Linked DNA regions of Coturnix japonica. The protein of the gene in region 1 interacts with the protein of each later gene in a pairwise test. Links are inferred from orthologs where the notes say so. Each region holds a gene or a part of one and is shown in the gene's direction. Other genes may lie near its edges.

Region 1 (4,965 bases):
AACGTGTGATGCATCACTCCAGGTTTTTGTGCACTATGAAATCTCAGCTACGTGGAAGGGAGTGAATAATCTTAAGAGTCAAGAAGAAAGAGATTGAAATTGTTAAAATAGGTGTTCTAAGATCTCGAGCCTTCTGGAGATTATTATCACACAAACTGTGAGCCATAGGCTAATAAGACTGAAATGTTGAATATGTGTGTATTTATATATGGTGGAGATAGCCATAGAGATGACCTGATCAGAACAAATGTTCACCAGAAACGCTGCAGATAAATCTAATGGGAAGGGTGAAAAAAGTAGGAAGTTTATGTGCGTGCCTTGAGAATAAATGCTCTTTGATTTGTTAATTGATCTATTCAATCTATTTATTAAGAGATTTACATGGAAGATATGAGCCAAACACTTTTTTTTTTCCCCTCCCTTCCTTTCCTGTGGTGGCACTTTGCTTAAAGACTATTGAAGTACATCTGACTGCTTTCAGAACATAAATCCATGAAATAATACTGATATTTGTTACACTTCTTAGAATGCTTTTATGCCTCATCTACATGAACTTTCCAACTCTTGTCATTTAAATGCATGCTATTTCCTCATAACTCTTCCTTAGGTACCAGCCATGGCTACACCAGTGCAAGTGGAAGACCTTCAAGGCGAGGAGGAAGCGCCCTGGGCTCAGCAGCTAGCAGCAGTTTACTTGATATTGATCCCTTGATTTTAATCCACCTGTTGGATCTGAAAGACAGAAATGGTATGGAGAACCTCTGGGGCCTCCAGCCACGTCCACCTGCCTCTCTTCTACAGAACAGAGGTAACTGTACATCAGATCTCAATTTCATTCCAAACTGGAAGTGTCTCTTGAGAATGCAGTGCCAGAGTTAGAAGTAGGTTTGTGGACAGGGAAAAAGAGAATGAAGGGCCGTTGTTTTCCCTGATAGCTAAACTTTCATATCCTCATCTGTGCTCATCAGTATGCTGCATCTTAACACGTTCTTTGTCTTGATGGGTGACCTCAGCATGAGAACGCTGTATGACTCAACTGAAAACAGAAGTGTTTATCAGGGAGTATTGTCTTGTCTTGTCTTGGGGGATGTGACTGATCTGGCTGGCTGTTTTGTGTAGTAACATTGTAGTGATGCATTTCATGCAGTTCATTTCAAAGCCGCTGTGGGAGATGAATGAAAGGCCCTCTTATAGAAGGGGTTAGCACTGGAAGACGAAACAACTCAAAACAGCTATCTGCTGAGAAACGCAGTTACAGCTCTTGCTTCACACAGTTTGTACGTTTAGTGGTTGAGAGTACTGGGATGGGAGCACAGTATGTGAATGAGGAGGTAAATCCTGGAATCTACTTCTATATGAGAAAGGCACTTTGAACTGGAAAACTGTAAAAAGCAATTGGGGGGCAAAAGAGACATAAGCTCAAGCAGGAGAATGATGAAAACCAACAGCTCAAATTGAGAAGATGCTGCATTTTGGGCTGTAATACTTAGGCAAGATCAGGCTCATCTTTTGTATTTAATGGGTTCTTGATCATCTTAAGCTACTGGCTGCAGCTGGAGTTACCCGCTGCTGAGGTACATGTATGGTTTGGCTGTTCCCAAGTCTTATACAAGTCATGCAAATAAGAGAAAGCTGCTGTTACATTTGGAGTTTGCTGAGCCTCACTTTTTAAGTTGAAGGTTTTTAAAAACTCTGAAGAGCTGAATTTGCAATAAAACAGTTATAGAACTTACAGCACTTCAAACAGACATCAAAGCTGATCGATTTCTGTGTAAGCAGCATGCAGATTTTCTCAGGTATTGGCTCTTTGGCACAATTTTATGTACTTAAGGGAATTTCTCCCCTAGTTCCAGATTTCTTTGATTTTTATGTGGTAATGTGAGGTGGTGGTGGGATGGGAATCTTAGACGAGCTCTTAACACGCTTTATAGAAAACACGTAACAAATTTGACATTTTAACTGGCAGCCGGGCTCATGAACTCAAGCTTATCTGGCAGTATAAGGGAGCTCAGCTATCATCAGAATTTATGCCATGGTATCAGAGCTCCTGCTCTTTTTAAAGAGCAAGGTCTATGCCCTTCCTCAGGCAGATAGAAATCTGTTGTCCCTTGGTTGTGTAATACCAGCATCCTAAATTAAAGTGCTGTAGGAGTATGAAAGAAAGCATCTTATCCCTTGTATTTACAGCAGGGCAAAAGGTAGAATTCTTACGGCTATTAAAAATAACGTCCATTTTTATCTGAGGACAGTTTTACTTACCTGTTGTTCTTCAACTCTTCTCTTTGGTAAAGCATCATCGTACTCCTTAAAGGATCGAGACCTGCGGAGGCACCAGGCGATGTGGCGTGTGCCGCCTGACTTGAAGATGCTGAAGAGACTTAAAACTCAGATGGCTGAAGTACGAAGCAAAATGTCTGATGTAAAAAACCAACTCTCAGAAGTAAGGAGCAGCAATGCTGGCTCATGCGATGGGCAGCCCAACTTCTTCTCCATTGAGCAAGGTGCTTTAGCTGCCTGTGGAACAGACAGCTGCAGCAAGCTGCAAGAAATAGGAATGGAGCTGCTGACCAAGTCTTCAGTGACCAGTTGTTACATAAGGAGTTGTAAGTACTCACGGAGGGAGTTGGGACATGGATGCTCTGTGAAATAGGAGCAATCTTATGACTTGCATTGAAACATGGTGACAGCAGAACTTGGTATTTTGCTGTTCCAGTTATCACTCCTCCATTCCTACACTTAGATAAGTTCCTGCAGCACTGCCACAAGCTCAGAGAACAGTGAATCTGAGAAGTCACAAACAGCAGAGGTGAAACAGAGGTGATTTTAGTTCGCCTTCTTACCTTCCAGCTTGGGGGCTGGAAGCTCCCAACTTACTTAAGCTTTTCTCTGTCCTATGTCTTTTGACAGGAAGGGTGGAGGAGTTGTGTGCACGATGGGTAGTTAAGCTCCATGTTAGTCTCATTGGTCATTAACTTCCTTAAAATGAGCACAGAATGCTGCAGGCAATCTGGTTAAATACTTCTACTGTGTTTGCAGCTGCGGGTAAGAAGAGTAACTCACCCAAACCTATTCGCTCTGGAGCAGCAGGGAGTCTGTCTCTACGAAGAGCTATGGACTGTGGGGATAATCTTCGGTTAAAGGGGGACGGGCAAACTTGTGAAGGTAAGCAAGGTCCTCTGTACTGTGAGGTGTGTTGTATCTGTTGTACAGAAGTGGATGTTGTAACTGAAGTTTGCCTGAAACTCTGCTCGATCTGTTTGCAAGCCTAATTAATGCTGCTGTACCAGCACAGAGCTCTGATAGTGGTCTGCTGTGGGTGCTGCTGTGCCTGAGTGCAGCCTCATCCACAACATGAGTGGCTGCTTTGCTGCTGCCAAACAATCTTGCATCTGTAGCTGGGAAAAATAGTGAAGAGAGTGTCTGTGTTACTAGAAAGTGAACTTTAACTGCATGAGATGGGGAAACAGAGACTGTGTGTGTGGTCAGAGCATGCACAGACGGTACGTGCATCTTGTGCGATGCTTAGAAAGCATAAGGTTGGAGTGGAGGATGTGCTTGTACACGTCTGGAAATGCACCAGTGATATAAAATGACTGGATTTATTCTTTTTAAAGTGTGCTGTGCTTTGAGCATTTCTCCTTCTTTTTTCAGGTGGAGTTGGGAGTTCAAAGTCAAGCAGTCGCCATCACTGTCCCAGGCCCCTGGTCAGCAGTAATGCTTCCGAGGCACTGCCTAAGCCAGAGGAAAGGCCTTGTGAAGGGTCAGATTCTGATGTGGGAGCTTCTGGCTTAAATGCTGCTGTGGAGAAGACCAGAAAAGCTGGTGCTCTGGGGTAAGGAATTGTGTGTTCCCTCCTTCATCTTGTCCTTTCTTTTCTCCTTTCCCTTGATCTGTGAGGAAAAAAATACGAATCTGCTGAAATGAGGTGCTTGTAACACAGAAGAGGAATTACTTCCAAGCCTAATTGGTGGCTGTGTTTCCATATGGGTATCAATTTTTGGCTCAGTAACCTGAGCACAAGTTGTACTTTTCTTCTCTTTCATTCTGATCAGCCGTTGATGTAGTCTGCTGCTTTGATTTGCAAGGTGGGCACCGTCTCCTGTCCCTCTGTTCCTTGCCATAATATCATCTCTCTGAAGGTTTCCACTTCAGGTTTCTTCAGAGAAAATTCTTCACTGTGACTTTCTCAGCAGTTTCATAATAACTGTTGTGTAACTAAGCCGAGTGCAATGGAGTACTTACATTTTATTCTACGTAACAACAGGGGAAAAAAAATCACTTTTTTAATACATTTTCACCTTAAACCTTGAGGGGTTTTTTGAAATTCTTAAGTACTTTGAAATTAGTCAGAGCTGGAAGTGGATACAACTTGATGAGTTGAACAAGATGTGTGGCACCGAAAGGAGCTGTTTGGTTTTTTATCCAGAGCTGTATGAAAGCCAGGTTCCTAATGTGGATTTCTGTCTGTCTCCTGAATTCTTTCAGATCAAATTCTAAAGGATATCGCACGGAGGGGACGCAGTTGGGTAGTTTGGATGAAGGCTCTGAACCTGGTGAGCTGCAGGGTGTGCTTCCTGAGGGTGCTTCAGCAGGACCAGAGGAAGGTAACCTGGATGTTGTGAAGGGTGGATGCGGTGCTACAATGCTTCCGATCTGTGATCATTTATTTCTGTAATGGAAGTAGCTTGAAGGGGAAAGGAGGAAAAAACAGCAGCTGTTTCCGTGGCTGCTGAACTTTGCTGTAGCGTTTAGCAACTGTGGTATAAATCTAAATGAGAGGGGAGTATCTCTTGCCACTGCTGTCCATGAATAGTGATATTACGTTACAGCATGAATGTAAAGATCTAGCAGATATTGTGACAAGGTGCCTTCTGCTTCTCTGGACCTGCCTCTTTACCTCTCAATGTACCTCATGGTCTCTTGCTGTGCTGGTTTTTATCATGACCTTGAAAATAACAACTTATC
Region 2 (4,965 bases), on another chromosome or scaffold:
GAGCTTTATGGATCCTTGGAGAGTACTGCAGCACAAAGGAGGATATACAAAGTGTAATGACAGAAGTTCGCAGATCACTTGGAGAGGTGTGTTTATTTTGTTATTCTAACTTTTTGTGGTTTATCTCACTACATACATTGTACTAAAGAAAGGATTTAAAACAATTAAAATGCAATACAGAGTTTTGAACGGTTGTAATGTTGTGTGTGCAAGAAGCCAAAAGCAAAAAGTAGATTTTGCATTCAGTATTGAATTATTTTTAAGTAGAAACTGGCATGTATTGAGAATAAATATTAGAATGCTTCAGATTTAGGAGAGTGGGTGAAAAATTGCTTGTTTCAGAACACTGTGTCAACTTGAACATATGAGTACCATAGCTATATGCACTAAAAATGAAGAGTGCTTTAAGTCTTGGGAGCTCTGCAAGCACTGTATGCAGTGTCATGAGCTTTATGCACAGCTGTAGGAGGTTTCTCTATGTACCTGAACATCTATGTGTTTGTGTTTAGATCCCAATTGTAGAATCTGAAATCAAGAAGGAAGCTGGTGAGCTAAAACCTGAAGAAGAGGTGACCGTGGGCCCAGTCCAGAAACTGGTGACAGAGATGGGTACTTATGCAACCCAGAGTGCTCTGAGTAGTTCCCGGCCCACCAAAAAGGAGGAGGACAGGTATTTAAGATTTCATACTAGACCTAGTAAAAGTTTTTTTTTAAGTGACGTTCTCTGTCATGGAGAGTTGAGTGGTCAATGTAGTGTTTTTGAAGTATCTTCTGAACTAGGTTTCTGATGACTGTCTGTCCTTTTAGGCCTCCGTTGCGAGGATTCCTGCTTGATGGGGATTTCTTTGTCGCTGCTTCCCTTGCTACCACTTTAACAAAGATTGCTTTACGATACGTGTCACTAGTTCAGGAAAAGAAGAAGCAAAACGTAAGTCATCTCTGTGCTTTCACTGTAGTTGTGAAGAAGAGCTGGTTGGTGGGCTGGGTGTTTTTGTCTGTTAGTGGAGTTTGCTTTTTTCTTTTTGTTCAGTGGGTTTTTAAGCAGATATAAAATGGATTGAGTCCTGAGCCAAATGCCAGTTACAGGGCTGTTTAATAATAACTTGGGTCACAAATAGGGCTTGCTGCTTTTCAGCCACTGAATCAGAACACTCTGAATTCTTGGTGCTTTGTTTCTTGACTTAAAATAAAATGTCCAGAGGTTTCTATGAATTTGATGAATTTGCCCCAGTAATAGGCATTTCTTTGAGGCTTTTTAAAAATGCAGTAACGTCCTTTCATTCAGTTTCTTTTGTCTTCCTTCTCAGTCCTTTATTGCTGAAGCTATGCTGGTGATGGCCACTATTCTCCATTTGGGAAAGTCTTCTCTTCCCAAGAAGCCCATTACAGATGACGATGTGGATCGTATTTCCCTGTGTCTGAAAGTTTTGTCAGAATGTTCTCCACTCATGAATGATATTTTCAACAAAGAATGCAGGCAGTCCCTCTCTCATATGCTGTCAGCCAAGCTGGAAGAAGAGAAGCTTTCCCAGAAGGTGAGATATTATGAATGTGTAGTCATAAACCCTTGGAGTTCTTTTAGTGTTGTTCACATCCAAGCAGGTCCTAGAAATGTCTCTGTTTGACTATGTCTGATTCAGTCATTATGTGTTCTGTTCTAAGTGAGAGAATTAACTGTGATATTTTTTTTCTGCAGAAAGAGTCAGAGAAAAGGAACGTGACGGTCCAGCCGGATGATCCCATTTCCTTCATGCAGCTTACTGCTAAAAATGAAATGAGCTCAAAAGAAGACCAGTTTCAGCTCAGCCTTCTTGCAGCAATGGGAAACACGCAGAGAAAAGAAGCTGCTGATCCTCTTGCATCCAAACTTAATAAGGTAAGGTAATCAGTCTCTTAGTTATATACTCTTCATTCTGCTTATGTGCTGAATCAACGATGGGAGATGCATACTGGAACTAATGAATCAGGCTATGCTGGTTGATTAATAAGACCCATATGTTTGTTGATGGGGAAAAGAAAGAGAGAAAAACCTTTACTGTGCTTTATTATTCCCTTATCGTGAGGAAAGAAGAGTGGTATGGAGACTGAGGGTGCTAAGCTGGTGGCATGCAGAAAAGGAATTGAAATTGTATGGTGCTTTGAAGAGCTCAATAAAGTTCGCTATGAGAAGAGCAGGGATGTCACAAGTGAAGGACCTTTTCTGCCATATCCTGTTGACAAGTGTAGTGCATCTTATTTCAATTTGTCTTTTTTTTTTCTGCTTGTTATTAAAACTAGCAGAGAACATTCCAAGAGGTTCATAAAACCACAGAATGTACCAAGTTGGAAGGGACCCATGAAGATCATTGAGCCAAACCTCTGGCTCTGCAGAGAAGCACCTCAAAATCAAACCCTGTCTCTGAGGGTGTCGTCCAAACACTTCTTGAACTTCAGTTATGAAAACAGACTCTTATTCTTAAAGTCTGCATACGTTCTTGTTAGTGTTTAAAGTTACCTTTCAATTTGAAGTCACTATTTTTCATTTGAATCTTTTTAAGAATAATGCAGCATTTTATTTAATGTTTTGGGATCTTAGATAAATTAAGTTCAGAAAATGTTCTGTCTGTAAAGGTTTTATAAATTGTAGTATGTGTGCAGAGGGACAGCTGAACAAAGGATGGGTTTAAAAATGCATTTGTGTACATAATACGGAGGATCACTGCGATTTAGCTATAAGTCATCAGAACTTGTTGGTTTTGGAAAGCTTATGCAAGAAGTATGGACTTTGGTTTTCCAGAATGTCGCTTAAATATTTCCTAGACTAAGTTTGTGTTATTTGGCTGAAGTGTTTAGTTTTTTCTCTTTCTGAGAAGGTAGTTATGTGAAGTTTAAGCTTCCTCACACACCTTTTCTCTCTGATTTGAGGGCTCATATCAAAGGGCAGTTAATTCAATTCTAGTTTATTGTTTTGGCATTGTTTGTTGTGATTTCCTATTAGAAATGGCTTATGAGAAAAATACCTTAAATTCTTTTCCTTTGCAGGTTACACAGCTGACGGGTTTCTCAGACCCTGTTTACGCAGAAGCCTATGTCCACGTCAACCAGTATGACATTGTGCTGGATGTGCTTGTGGTAAACCAGACCAGTGATACGCTGCAGAACTGCACACTGGAGCTGGCCACACTGGGTAAGGAGAACTGCTGGGCCCTGGCACTGATTGATAGAACTAGGAAGTCCCTTACAATTTCTTCCTAGTGGAGTAGGGAAAATAGCAATAAGATTCAGAATCAAGATGGTACTTTGACCTGTTCTTAGATAGCTCAGTACATGCAATACGGACATTGAACTTTGTTTTTAAGGCACAGAACAGTAGTGTTAGGTGTTATGATGTTGGCAGTGATTAAAATGCAAGGCAGAAGTGACAGTTTTGTGCTTGTTAAAATTAATACCAAACTCAATCTGAAGCCCATTTAAGTCACTGTTTCAATTTGTTTTCTGTATCCTTTGGGTGAGTACACTAGTATTTTAACTGAAGTTTTTAATGTAAAATTAACGAAGTAATGCAGTGCAGCTGTGTAGGCACTGTAATTGAATCACAAGGCAGTAAATGTTCCAAAAGTGGAACTGTTTTGTAGTGGTAACATTCTCTGATGCCCTTTCCCAAATTTATTTAAACAGGTGACTTGAAGCTTGTAGAAAAACCATCTCCTTTGACTCTTGCTCCACATGACTTTGCAAACATTAAAGCTAACGTCAAAGTTGCCTCAACAGAAAATGGAATCATTTTTGGCAATATCGGTAAGTAGACAGCCGTGTGTGCAGATTACTGTGAGGGGTATTTCTTAACTGCTCAGAGGGCTCAGGAATTAATAAGTAATACACTTTATACTGGAAAAGGAAATGAAATTATTTGCAATGTAGGAATATTTAATGATGATCTTTCTGAAAATTTGTGTTTTAATTAAAAATCCTGGTGGAGCACACTACCTTCAGAGTGGTTGTCAGCCTGATAATTGAACCCAAGTCTCTGAACTGTAAATGACCTTAGGCAGTATTGCCTGAAAAACCAATACACCTGTCTCAGAGTTTTGTGGCAACTTGGGAAAAGAACGTGAAAAGGGTAGAGATCAACACAGGGCTGAGCTGTTAGCTGACAAATGGTAACTGGATACTCTTACTTATTACAGTCCCTTTTCTAAGCATTCATGTGGTTTGTATTTCTTATTGCAGTGTATGATGTCTCTGGAGCTGCCAGCGACAGAAACTGCGTGGTTCTCAGTGATATTCACATTGACATTATGGATTATATCCAGCCAGCCTCTTGTACGGATGCAGAGTTCAGACAGATGTGGGCAGAATTTGAGTGGGAAAACAAAGTTAGTTTTACTTTCCGTATGTTATTTGGGGTTCTTGTTGGATGACTTGTCATTCTCTTTCCTATTCCACACTAACTCATTATATCAACATTATCTCATGTGATACAAACCACATTCAGGTCACAGAATTGTAGGGGTTGGAAGGGACCTCCAGAGATCATTCAGTCCAACCCCCCTGCCAAAGCAGGTTCCCTACACCAGGTTGCACAGGTAGGTGTCCAGGCGGGCCCTGAATATCTCCAGAGAAGGAGACTCCACAACCCCCCTGGGCAGCCTGTTCCAGTGCTCCATCACCCTCACTGTAAAGAAGTTTTTGCACACATTCATGCAGAATTCCCTGTGTTCCAGCTTATGTCCATTTCCCCTTGTCCTGTCTCCACACACTGCTGAAAAGAGTCTGGCCTCCTCACCACTTTGCCCCCCACACCTCAGATATTTATAGACCTGGATCAAATCCCCTCTTAGTCTTCTTTTCTCAAAGCTAAACAGACCCAGTTCACTTAGCCTTTCTTCACCGGGGAGATGCTCCAGGCCCTTCACCATCTTTGTGGCCCTCCATTGAACTCTTTCCAAGAGATCCCTGTCTTTTTTTGTACTGGGGAGCCCAGAA
Region 3 (4,860 bases), on another chromosome or scaffold:
AAGGTCACACTGTCTTTCTGAGCACAGCTGAGGGTGTCAGAATGCACATGCATTTTTTTGTTTATATCTTGCCAAGAACAATATAAAACTGCCTGGCACCTATGGCTGATTTATGGCGGTGGCCCAGGAGGTGCCGGAGCTGACGTTTGTTCATTGATCTATGGTCGAATCATGCAAAACCAGACATCCTGCTGTAAATCCTCCGCAGAGACCTGCCCTGATTTACACTGCCGGCACTATAAATAATGACAAAATGCAGCCTGATAGCAGTCTGTCTCCCTATACATGGGCATGAATTAGACTGTGTCTTGAAGATGACAGATCTACTGCGAGAGAAGCACTTTGCCCAGGGTCCCTCTCTGCCAGCCTGTAGCAGAAAGGATGCCCCGTCCTTACTCCCAGCATAACCCCAAGCAGTGCTCCGGGCCTCATTTTTCTTTTTACCCTCAATGCAAATGCAGACATTCCTTGAATTGCTCCACACGAACATCTTGTGAAGATTTAAAGTGGGGTTCCTGTCGAGAGGTTTGTGGTTCCTTCCCAGATCACCTCCTGTAGCACAGCCAGCCAGCAGTGCTCCCATTGAAAACACCCAGCACTCTTTGAAGTTCTTTGTTTTGTTTGCAGAATAAAGCTACTGCTTTGCCAAGGGAAAGGGGAGCTCACCCATTTCACTGACACCAAAACAACCCTTTGCTTTTGAACCTTCTTTTCTTGCCTTTTGCTCACCTCTCTCCCCACAGAAAACAAGACCCCCAGAAAAGGGACAAAGTAGAATTAGGGACTCCAGCAGTGTTACCCCAGTGAACATCTGATTCACTTTCCAATGTTCCAAAGCCAGCTTTCATTGAGCAGCAATCAGCCATCAAACCATGCTGCCTTCACCCCCACGCTCCCCACTGGCAGGGCAAGGCACAGCTTCAGCTATCAGCTCCTTCACCCACCAACAGCACCTGCCACCCTGGAAGAAAACAACCTGGTACAGGAAGCCTCTGCTTCCAGCTTCCCCACGCCCTTTGAATATGTACCGAACTATTCACCCCAATTACACTCTTAACGGGCTCCAATCTGTTTTCCTTTGTTCCCAGAGCAGCAGGGCACTGCCCACATTAACATTCAATGAGAAGTTGTTTGATACTGAATCATTTCTTCAGCAGTATGATTTCTTACACAATTCTGTTTGATTGCAATCCACTTTACATTCGCACAGTACTTACTGCCTAAGAAAGAATGACCTCGCCTGCTTTCACTTGCTTTTTTTTTTTCCTTTTCATTTTATTGATTTCTCTTTTAAAAGGATTTTATTCCTTTTGTACATGAGACTGCGATAAGAGAGGGAGACAGCATTACTGAACAAAAGCTGTTTTCCTTGCTGCTCCATCAACCCGCAAGCCTTCCCATTAGGTACCCCAAAATACTGTAATAACAGAGCACTTGGAGCTGCCTACACACTTTTTTTGGTACTTTTTGTTCTTGCCACTGAACTCCCAAATTCATTGAGTGAGTCCTTAGGAATGAATGGCTCTTCCCAGTCCCTGATGAGGCCATGCCCTGGCATAATTGCAGCCAGCACAACTGCACTCTGCACTTAAAGTGCAGCCCACAGCATGCAGTCTTGTCTTAAAATCCGTGCTTTGCACTCCTTTTGTGTGGGGTTTTTTGCAAAGGTGAGATGTAGAGCACTTGGGAATGGCAGCATTGAGCCTGCCCTGCAGTCTGCCTGAAATCCAACACACCACGGCTTAGAAAAGAGTGGGCCCTTGTTCTTACATGCAGAACACACAAATTATTACAGCGTGATCCTGGGCTGCAAGTGTGAATTATGCTTTCCTCAGTATTGGGATGAATCCTGACTTTTAGGGCAGCAGAACATCAGCAAAACCTAATGCTGATGAGAGGTGTCAGCCACAGCAGCACTTCCCAGGACCCCCAAGTCCTGCAGCTCCAGCCCTGCTCCTGCTGTTAGCAATGGCTCATCTAACTAATGTTAATTAGTCCTTGGCACCAACCGCTGCAGCCACTGAAGCAAGTGGCTGGCAAGTCACTCAGAAGTGATCTAATTAATACGTGTCTCTCCAAAAGGAATATTTTCTAAAGGTGCACCAAGCAACTGCTCTCACCCAGGGAGCAGAGCACAGGTGGGCTTCCTCTGGTGCACCCCACCCACCAACTCCTCTCTTGTCTTCCAGCATCAATGTACACAGAAATACAGCAGGAGCACTGTGACAGCAGGAGCATCCTGAGTCAGCCGGACTACATAGATGGGAACCCAGACTTGATCAAACCTAAAAAGCTCCTCAACCCCGTCAAAGCCTCCAAGAGCCACCAGGAGCTGCACCGAGAGCTGCTGATGAACCACAAGAGGTGAGGAGAGGTCACAGCAGTGTGGAGCCCGGCACCAGCACCACCACCAGCTGTGGTTGGAGGGAGGGATAAACCCTGCCACTTGCACACAGACATGGGGTACAACCCACCACTCTTCTCTGATGCAACAGATTATTTTCAAACATTTTCAAAATGCCTTAAAAAAACACTTTGACACGGCCACACTTTGATCTCTAATCAAAAAGGAGCAGAGCCTCTGCTCAAAACAACTGTGCTCATCGTGAGGGTCAGGCACAAGGGTTAATTCAGCCAACAACAACCCTGCCAGCAGGGTTCATTGCTCAGTACTGGCACTGCCCAGAAGCAGGAGAATTACAAGGACTGTGCCCAGGCCAGTCTCCAGCACTGACGCAATCATCTGAACCAGGCAGATATTCCTAAAACACTCTGACACGGCCTGGTTAAAGCCTCACTGGCCAGGATCTCCTGGCACAATCAATGCTATCATCTCCTGAGCAGGTTTAGGGCAGCCAGCAAGTTGGTACAGTGCTCCCAGAGGAAAGGAGGAACAGCATCTGTATGCAACCCTAAGTCACCAGCAAATCCGGCAGCTTTGCTGTTTGCTGCATGTTCATACTGAAGGGAGGAGGGAGGAGGATCTGTGCTTGCTTCCATTTCTGCCTTCTCCCTTAGGCAGAAGCAGGAAGCAATTCACATCAGCAGCTTGTGCAAGAAAACTTTATCTTAGTCAACACCTCTGGGCACTAACAAGGCAGGCTGATTAAATCCAGGAGCAGTAACAAATTCAAAGGCAACACTGCAAACTCTGTGTCTCCAGCAAGCCACAGCAGGCTTTACCTTCTGTCAAGCCCAGGGCCTGTCTGCCACAGAAACACTCATGTTACAACACCTCTCCTCCAAATATTTCCCTGGGATTTCCAATACCCTCAGCCTGCTGACTGCAGTGAATGTTCAACCCCCAGCAGGTGAGGTCAGGCTCTGGTGGCAGCTATGCGACCTTCAGCTCCTCAAAAACATGACTTCAGCCAACTACTTCTGTGACTTCTTCCAAAATTACTTAAGTTCCAATTGCTATTAGAAGGTAACCTATTTGAAAGCTGCCTTGATCTCTGCTTCATAACTTGTTCAGCAACACAAAACTGTGGCTGCAATGATGTCTGCCCAGAAGTCAGCAAAGGTTTGTTGACGTGCACAGCCACATACATGTATTTAGGGGGTAGAAGAGGATAGGCAGGTGGCTGGGGTCAGCTGCAGGAGATAAACATTAGTGCTTAAACTGAGGCACAGCAGGGATCGCAAGCCCTCAGCTCTGGAGCAAGCCGAACTGCCAGGACAATTACTGCAGTTCAATGACTACCCCTGCTGGTGGAAAAAAATCTTCATTATTATAAACTCCCTCAGTGCCGCTTGAGCTGTCACTGTAGGACAGCACATTTCCCTTTCTGCACAGAAAGGCACAGTACATCAGTGTGGCAGCATTTGGGATGGAGGCTCTGGGGGCTGCCAGGCAGGCAGGGGGAAGGTGAATGAGCAACTCTTCATTTGACTGCTTTTGGTCCACAGAGGCTTGAGTGTAGACAGCAAGCCAGAGTTGCAGAGGGTGCTTGAACACCGACGGCGAAACCAGGTCCTCAGGCAGAAGAAGGAAGAGGAAGAGGCCAAGAAGTTGCAGTCTCCCTTTGAAAAAGAGCTACTGAAGAGGCACCAGCGGCTGGATCAGGTAGGATCAGGCTGTCAGCCACCCCCATGTTGTTCTAACTACCCTGGAGATGGGTGGCTGAGGGGTTTTAAGGTACATAATGCACTTTTGTTCTTTAGAATGTACAGATAACAATGACTTTTCTTTATTACAGCTGGAGAAAGAGCAGGAGAAGCAGGAAGACCATGCACCAGAATTCATTAAAGTCAAAGAAAATCTGAGAAGAACATCAACGGTGACTGGGGAAGAAAAAGCAGTGTAGCTTCTGCCAAAACCCAGCGGGGATCCTACCAAGGCTGATGTCTCTGTACATGCTGGACACTCACAGCCACATCTTTGGGGCTACTCATGTCATTAACACTTGCTCCAGTAGATGGCACAAAAAAGGTTTTCCCATCCCAGGAAGGTCTCATGATCAAAAAGGTGCAGTATTTACTGAAGAGGCCCTCACACGAGGTGGTGCAGAGCGAAGCAATGTCCCTTTCCTCCCCAGTTGTGGGAGCACACTAACATCCAGCTAACTCCTGGTTAACCCTCATGATGTGGCCAAGGTGTGAGCCAGGGCAGTCAGCAGAGGGATGGTCATTGCCATGGGCTGGGGAACCCGCATCCCCTGGAGGTGGGCTCACCAAGCAGGGCAGCAGGGGAGTGGCTGCAGCTCCAGAAATCTCCTGGCAAATCAGCGTGGTGACTAAAAGGACAATCTGCGTATCACTGGGAACAGCCCAAGGGTTACTGGCACTGCAGAACCGCACAAGACAAACAATGCTATCACACTATGAGAAAAATCAACTCCTGAGTGCCCACACCAGCTC
Region 4 (5,755 bases), on another chromosome or scaffold:
ACAAATTCTTCCAGGTTAACAACATGGATGCGTTAAGGAACTCCCTGTGTATCTGCTGCAATGAAATCTTGAAGGAACGTTCCCCTGATGTGCTCTGCTCTTACAGCTACCCCACAGCACTGGGCTGCATTGCTGTAGTTAAAAAGGAGATGAGATGTATGCCCATCAACTACTGTAAGCCTGTAAATACTTCGTCTCTCATATATACTATTAATCAGGAATATATGAAACAGCTGTTTGGGAAGCTTCCAGTAAAATGGAGTGTGTCGTATTTGTTGAGCATTTAAAATGAACCCACCTCTTTCTCCAGATGGCAGTTTTGTTGCTGCCCTTGTGACCATACTAATCTGATGTTATATTTTTGATGGCTTACGTAACTTCTTGCTTTAGCTGGACGTAGATAAGGTCTAAGGCAGATCACTGAGGTCTGGTGTATGTAGCTCCTGGTGTACCCAAGTCACTGGGTTTTATAAAACTGTTTATTTCTAAGGTGTTGTCTCGATTCTTCTTCGTTGTAATAAATGTATTTGAAGCTGTACAGTATCGTGTCAGAGAAAGCTGAAGTGGATGTAACCTAATTTAAAGAGAGGAGTATCATGGATTTTCAAATCTCAAAATAAATCTATTACAATTAGAAAATTATCAATGCCTCTTAATATTTTGGATGCTGAAAGGGGGTTGCTAATACCTGTGACTGGAAAGCTTGTGTAGAAAGAATCATAGTGCATTAGTTCTGTTCTTGTCCTCACTTTGGATCTCAACAGATAACAGTTCTTGGCATGCTGTTACACAAGGGAGGAAAATACACAACTCTTAACAAGATATAAACAAGCATGATCAGCTTATGATACAACTGCAGTAAGCAATGGTGTTTGTCATGGAAGCTGAGCTATCTCAGAAGAGAGAGGAGCTCTGGTTTGGGGATGGCACAACACAACAGGGTTCATAGAAAACTCCACCAAGCCTCGGTTTCAGACAGCTGCAAGGGAAGGTAATGCAGGGTACTCTTAAGGTAAAGATGTCAGGCTGTGTGGTGAAGTCCACTGCTATCAGCAACACCTAACACAGCTTTTCAGATATGGGAGGAGAAATGTTTTATAAGTGAACACTTGACACTTCAATACATTTCTGTTACTCTGAAGTTCAGACCAAAGTTAAAAGGATGACACATGGAGATGCATGTGCAGTAAAAGTAATATATATAGCTTATGTCATCTTGCGATCTTGAGCTAAGAAGAATGGAACAACTCTATAGGAGAAAGCCTTAGGGATGCTGGATACCACAACTGAATGTGCACTGTTACAGCAGATATTCTGTACTGCTACATGACAAATTCCCCTGTCAACCTGCTTCAATAAATAAGCACTTCTCTAAATTGTCCTGCGGATGATGGAGGAGAAGAAAACGCTGAACAGATCAATAGTGGAATTAGAAATAAAAAATTCACCGACTGGGTATTTTGCTTCAGACCTGACAATGAAAATAGTCCTGAGCTGATTCATTCCAAATAAAGCTCTAAATACTGTGAGATTTATATTTCACTCCGAGCAGATTAATATTCTTAAAATACACACACAAAAAAACAACACATCTGTAGGTGTTCCTTGGGGCAAAGAAAATATTCCTTCACTCTATTTTAGTGTGTGAAGGCAAGCATTTCTCATGCCGTGCTGTCAGTGAACTCTCAGCTACCAGTAGCAAGAAAAAAACATCTCTTTATTGCCCTAATAATTAAAGCAAAGATTTGTCTTTATTGTTGCAGTTGTCACTATTGTTCTAATTATCTGCTGTAAGCTGAATGCCTGCTTTCTGTTAGCTATAGCTCACGCTCCCACACAGCTTCATCCATAATTTCAGCTAATGGAAGAGCTGCCTGAAATCTATTGTGAGGAGATATTTGTTGGCTTGGTTGCACCCTTCTTCATCAATTACAAGCACTCCCAGAAGATGCAATCTCTTATTGACTTTTAATTAGTTCCTCACGACAGCAGGATTTATGGGCTTTTTTTCCCCTTGCATCCAGTTTTATTACGGGAGCTCTGCAATAGTTATAGATTCCGCAATGATCAAAAAACTGATGGAAATGCTACTAGGCCAAAATCAAACTAATAGAATGACAATAGAGCTGATTTCATCTGAGTAGCATTAACCTTAATGGAAACATAGAAAATCGATGTGAAAGGCCAAAGGAGGAATTACTTATACATCTGTCAAGCCAAACTTAATCATTTTAAGAGGCTTCAGTCAGAGAAGGATCTGAGCACAGGAATACCAACAGGAAGACATGGGTGTGAGCTGAGGTAGGTCTTCATAGAAAGATAAAATCTAATACTGCAAATTCATGACGTGAGCTCACCCTCCTAGGAGCAATTTGAGGTGATTTAATTCACATTACAAGGGGAAATTAACAATTGAAAGAGACTAAAACAGAACGCTCGCCTACCATCAGGGCTCTCAGTCTCCACAGCATCACTGTGGAGAAACAACCCGCAGCCAAGATGGCGCCCGCGCCTCCAGCACTAAAGATGGCGCCGACGCAACGAGCGACGTGACGGCGCGCATGAGCGAGGAGGGCGGAGCGGGGTTGGAGTTTTGGCGGGTGCTTGGAAGGCGGGAGGCGGTGAGTGGGACTGTGAGGAGAGCGGGTCTGTGTGTGAGGGGAGATGGGGGCCGTGTGTGAGGGGAGATGGGGGCCGTGTGTGAGGGGAGATCGGGGCCGTGTGTGTGAGGAGAGCGGGGCTGTGAGGAGAGTCGGGCTTTCTGTGAGGGGAGAGTCGGGCTTTCTGTGAGGGGAGATGGGGGCCGTGTGTGAGGGGAGAGCGGCCGAGCCTTAGAGGGATCAGGGTTGAAAGGGAAGGAGGTTAATGGGATCGCGGGTACGAATGGAGAGGATCCCTTGAATGTGGAGATCGGGCTGAATGAAGAGGGAATCCTTTGGTGGAAGAAGGAAGGAGGGATCCCAGGATGGGGGGCTGGGATCGGCCTGTGGTGAGGATTTATTCTCCATGTTGTGCCCTTGTGCTGCATTTGGCTCTGATCAAGGCAGGCTGCGCGTGTGGGAATAGGTTTGTGGATTAAAGTTCTTGTGGGCAGCTGTGGATGGAGAGTGTAGTGATCTACTGAGGGTGCTGGCCTCCGTTTGTAGGTGATCTCCATTCCAATGGTATCCATTTGTTCTGTGACAGAGTCTGTTTTGCCTCGGGGGGCTGTGGAAGGAATCGTGGTGAGATCATGGATGGTAAGGGATAAAAGCACTGCCCTACTTTCAGTAGGGAAGCTTTCTGACCAAGTGCAGAGAGCTCCATTAGCCTCTTAACAAAGGAAATCATATTGTGCTCCCTTTGGCTGTGTCTGTTGCCTTCATCACCCTCATCCTCTTGTGAGGCTGCATTTGAGTCTTCCTCAGGGCCAAAGGCTGAATACCTTTCTCATGTTGCTCTATGTATGTATCTCCGCTCTGTCTGTCCTGTTCCTCTCCCTGTTTTTAGAATCATCAAATCTTTTCAGTTGGAAGGGACCTTTAAAGGTCATTTAATCCAACTCCCCTGCAATGAACAGGGATATGCACAGCTTGATCAGGTTGCCCAGGGCCTGATCCATCCTTGTCTTGAAAGTCTTCAGGGATGGGGCATCTAATACATCTCTGGGCAGCTTGTTCCAGTGCCACACCACCCTCACTGTAAAAGACAAGGAAAAAATCCAACCTACATCTACTCTCTTCAAGCTTTTTGACCTTTTGCTTCATGTTTCTCTGCTGCTCTGTTCACTTTCTTGAGCAAAAAGCGTATTCAAGACAGTGACTTGAATGTTTGATTCTGTAGCAGCTTTCCTCTAAAAGGATAGAAGTAAAACCGAGTTTAATTTCTACTTCAGGTGATGAAGATTTGGATCTGTTGGTCTCCCTCCTGGCGGAAAATGAGGGAGCTGAAGAGGGGAATTCTCCTGAGGAGGAAGATACCTCGAAGACTGAGAAGGGAGAACCAGATGAGTATGATGAGCTCTTTGATGCAGAAGATGATGCATCATACACTGAGGAGGTGGACGCTGACAACAGCATAATTGATGAGGAGAAGGAGAACCTGGCTGAGCTGTTTGGAGATGTGGATGACCTGCTGGAAGAAGAGGAGGCAGAAAACACTGTCACAGCTTCAGTTCCCAATCAGGGGGAAGAGAAAACCAATGAAGAATTACAAGGTTTCTATTACAGCATCTTTTAAATGGTCTTGTGTTCACTAGAGAAGATACACGCAACATGTCAAGGAATATAGCACAAAAAAGTTAAATATTGATATAAGTCAGCTCTAGGCTGCATGGAAAGCTGTCCCTTCCCTGTGAGCCATGTAGAATCAGAGCTAAATCTATCCTGTAGCTCTAGTCTTTTTGTTCCTAATCTGTGATGTAGTAATACTGCCAGGCTCCCCAGGATTTTGTTAATCCCTGTTTACTGTGGCTTTTACTGCTGTCCTCATTATTGTCCTTTTTCTTCTTTCTTAGCTGAGCTGAGAAAACTACAAGAGCAGATGAAGATGTTGCAGGAGCAGCTGCAGAAGACGGCCATTGGGCAGCAGTCCAGTTCAGGCCCTGGGCAGAAAGCCTCTGGTAACAAGACTAATTAAATGAGTTTCTGATTTGTTAACTTCCCAATGTGTAAATTATAGGCAGATGATAATCTGAAGTGGGAACTGAGTAGCAAAAAGGAATGATGGTCTGTTATATTCCTGTACAGGTTGTTTCTTTCAGTACAGACTAAATGGTTTTGTTATTGGCATCATGGATTGATTGAAATGGGGCAACTTCTATGACTGTGGTGCTCCAGTGTTCTGCTGGAAAAGGTTCTTTCTTAGTAGCAGATGCTGGTGCACTCAAATGTTGCTACACCCAGAAAATACAGCCGTGTTCGTTGCTGATGCACATTTAGTGTAGTAATAATGAAACAGGGAAACTGAAAAGCAAAGACATGTTCCTACTTTCTACAGCTTTCTGGCTTCAGTGACATCAAGAGTTTAAGGTCAGAAGGAGTAAGAATCATTGGGGCTTTCCCAGATGTTGCATGTCACATGCTGGCAATTAAGAGTTTCCATGTGGGACCCTGACTTGGATTTATTTGAACAATTACTCAGTTTGGAGTAATGTTTAGTATGTGAGACTGGATCCTGAGATCTCATAAGTGCTTTTGTTTTCCTGGCTAGGTAAATCTCTCTGTCCACCCTTAAAGGAAAGGAAAGCTCAGAAGCTGCAGGAGTCACCGTGTTTCTCAGCCCAGCTGGACAATCCTTTACCAGCAGCCAAGAAAGGAAACCAGAAATCAAAAGCCTCCCCAGCAGGTATGGTTCTTAGTGAGCCTTCACTGAGACACACTGGGCTTTGCTGAAAGCCTACATAGTTCACAGCAGCAGCATGGACACATCCAGGGCAGTATTTATATTAACCAGTTCTGAGCTGACTTTGAGATCAGTACAATATTAAGACAGTTATAGACATTTTATTCCTCGCTTGTGCTGGACCCCTGTGTCCAGTCAAGTGTAAGTGAATGTTATGTTGAGTTATAGGTTTTCTTTATCAAGATTTTATTTTATTTTATTTCCTGCTAAAGAGACCAAGACTCCTCCACCACGACAAGTCCTCAGTCTGGCATTTCAGCCCCTCACATCTGCCCCGGGGAACACACCCAATAAGGTGCCCAGAGAGAAGACTCCTCACGTGTCAACATGCTCCAGTACAACACAGCAACCCGTATCTGTGGAAACCTTCTCA

Evidence for each region.
Region 2: the proteins of TRIM37 (region 1) and COPB1 interact in binary tests that used the Homo sapiens proteins (3 or more experiments, as listed by UniProt). The two-hybrid records come from large-scale screens. The link is inferred for Coturnix japonica from reciprocal best matches to the Homo sapiens genes TRIM37 and COPB1.
Region 3: the proteins of TRIM37 (region 1) and FAM107A interact in binary tests that used the Homo sapiens proteins (3 or more experiments, as listed by UniProt). The two-hybrid records come from large-scale screens. The link is inferred for Coturnix japonica from reciprocal best matches to the Homo sapiens genes TRIM37 and FAM107A.
Region 4: the proteins of TRIM37 (region 1) and MCM10 interact in a two-hybrid assay, tested with the Homo sapiens proteins (2 studies listed by BioGRID and IntAct). The link is inferred for Coturnix japonica from reciprocal best matches to the Homo sapiens genes TRIM37 and MCM10.

Annotation. Positions count from the first base shown.
Region 1 is NC_029534.1:5,929,003-5,933,967, reverse strand, and holds part of TRIM37 (E3 ubiquitin-protein ligase TRIM37), read left to right. Parts: intron 1-607; coding exon 608-808; intron 809-2,291; coding exon 2,292-2,603; intron 2,604-3,036; coding exon 3,037-3,162; intron 3,163-3,651; coding exon 3,652-3,832; intron 3,833-4,485; coding exon 4,486-4,604; intron 4,605-4,965. UniProt on the Homo sapiens protein: E3 ubiquitin-protein ligase required to prevent centriole reduplication. Probably acts by ubiquitinating positive regulators of centriole reduplication.
Region 2 is NC_029520.1:14,566,200-14,571,164, reverse strand, and holds part of COPB1 (coatomer subunit beta), read left to right. Parts: coding exon 1-86; intron 87-509; coding exon 510-670; intron 671-807; coding exon 808-928; intron 929-1,307; coding exon 1,308-1,535; intron 1,536-1,696; coding exon 1,697-1,876; intron 1,877-3,021; coding exon 3,022-3,166; intron 3,167-3,657; coding exon 3,658-3,777; intron 3,778-4,209; coding exon 4,210-4,355; intron 4,356-4,965. UniProt on the Homo sapiens protein: The coatomer is a cytosolic protein complex that binds to dilysine motifs and reversibly associates with Golgi non-clathrin-coated vesicles, which further mediate biosynthetic protein transport from the ER, via the Golgi up to the trans Golgi network.
Region 3 is NC_029527.1:9,364,401-9,369,260, reverse strand, and holds part of FAM107A (actin-associated protein FAM107A), read left to right. Parts: intron 1-2,189; coding exon 2,190-2,364; intron 2,365-3,909; coding exon 3,910-4,066; intron 4,067-4,199; coding exon 4,200-4,307; 3' UTR 4,308-4,860. UniProt on the Homo sapiens protein: Stress-inducible actin-binding protein that plays a role in synaptic and cognitive functions by modulating actin filamentous (F-actin) dynamics. Mediates polymerization of globular actin to F-actin. Also binds to, stabilizes and bundles F-actin.
Region 4 is NC_029516.1:5,990,399-5,996,153, forward strand, and holds the start of MCM10 (protein MCM10 homolog), read left to right. Parts: upstream 1-2,515; 5' UTR 2,516-2,561; coding exon 2,562-2,625; intron 2,626-2,816; exon of another isoform or gene 2,817-2,989; intron 2,990-3,186; exon of another isoform or gene 3,187-3,188; coding exon 3,189-3,239; intron 3,240-3,874; coding exon 3,875-4,195; intron 4,196-4,495; coding exon 4,496-4,600; intron 4,601-5,190; coding exon 5,191-5,325; intron 5,326-5,594; coding exon 5,595-5,755. UniProt on the Homo sapiens protein: Acts as a replication initiation factor that brings together the MCM2-7 helicase and the DNA polymerase alpha/primase complex in order to initiate DNA replication. Additionally, plays a role in preventing DNA damage during replication.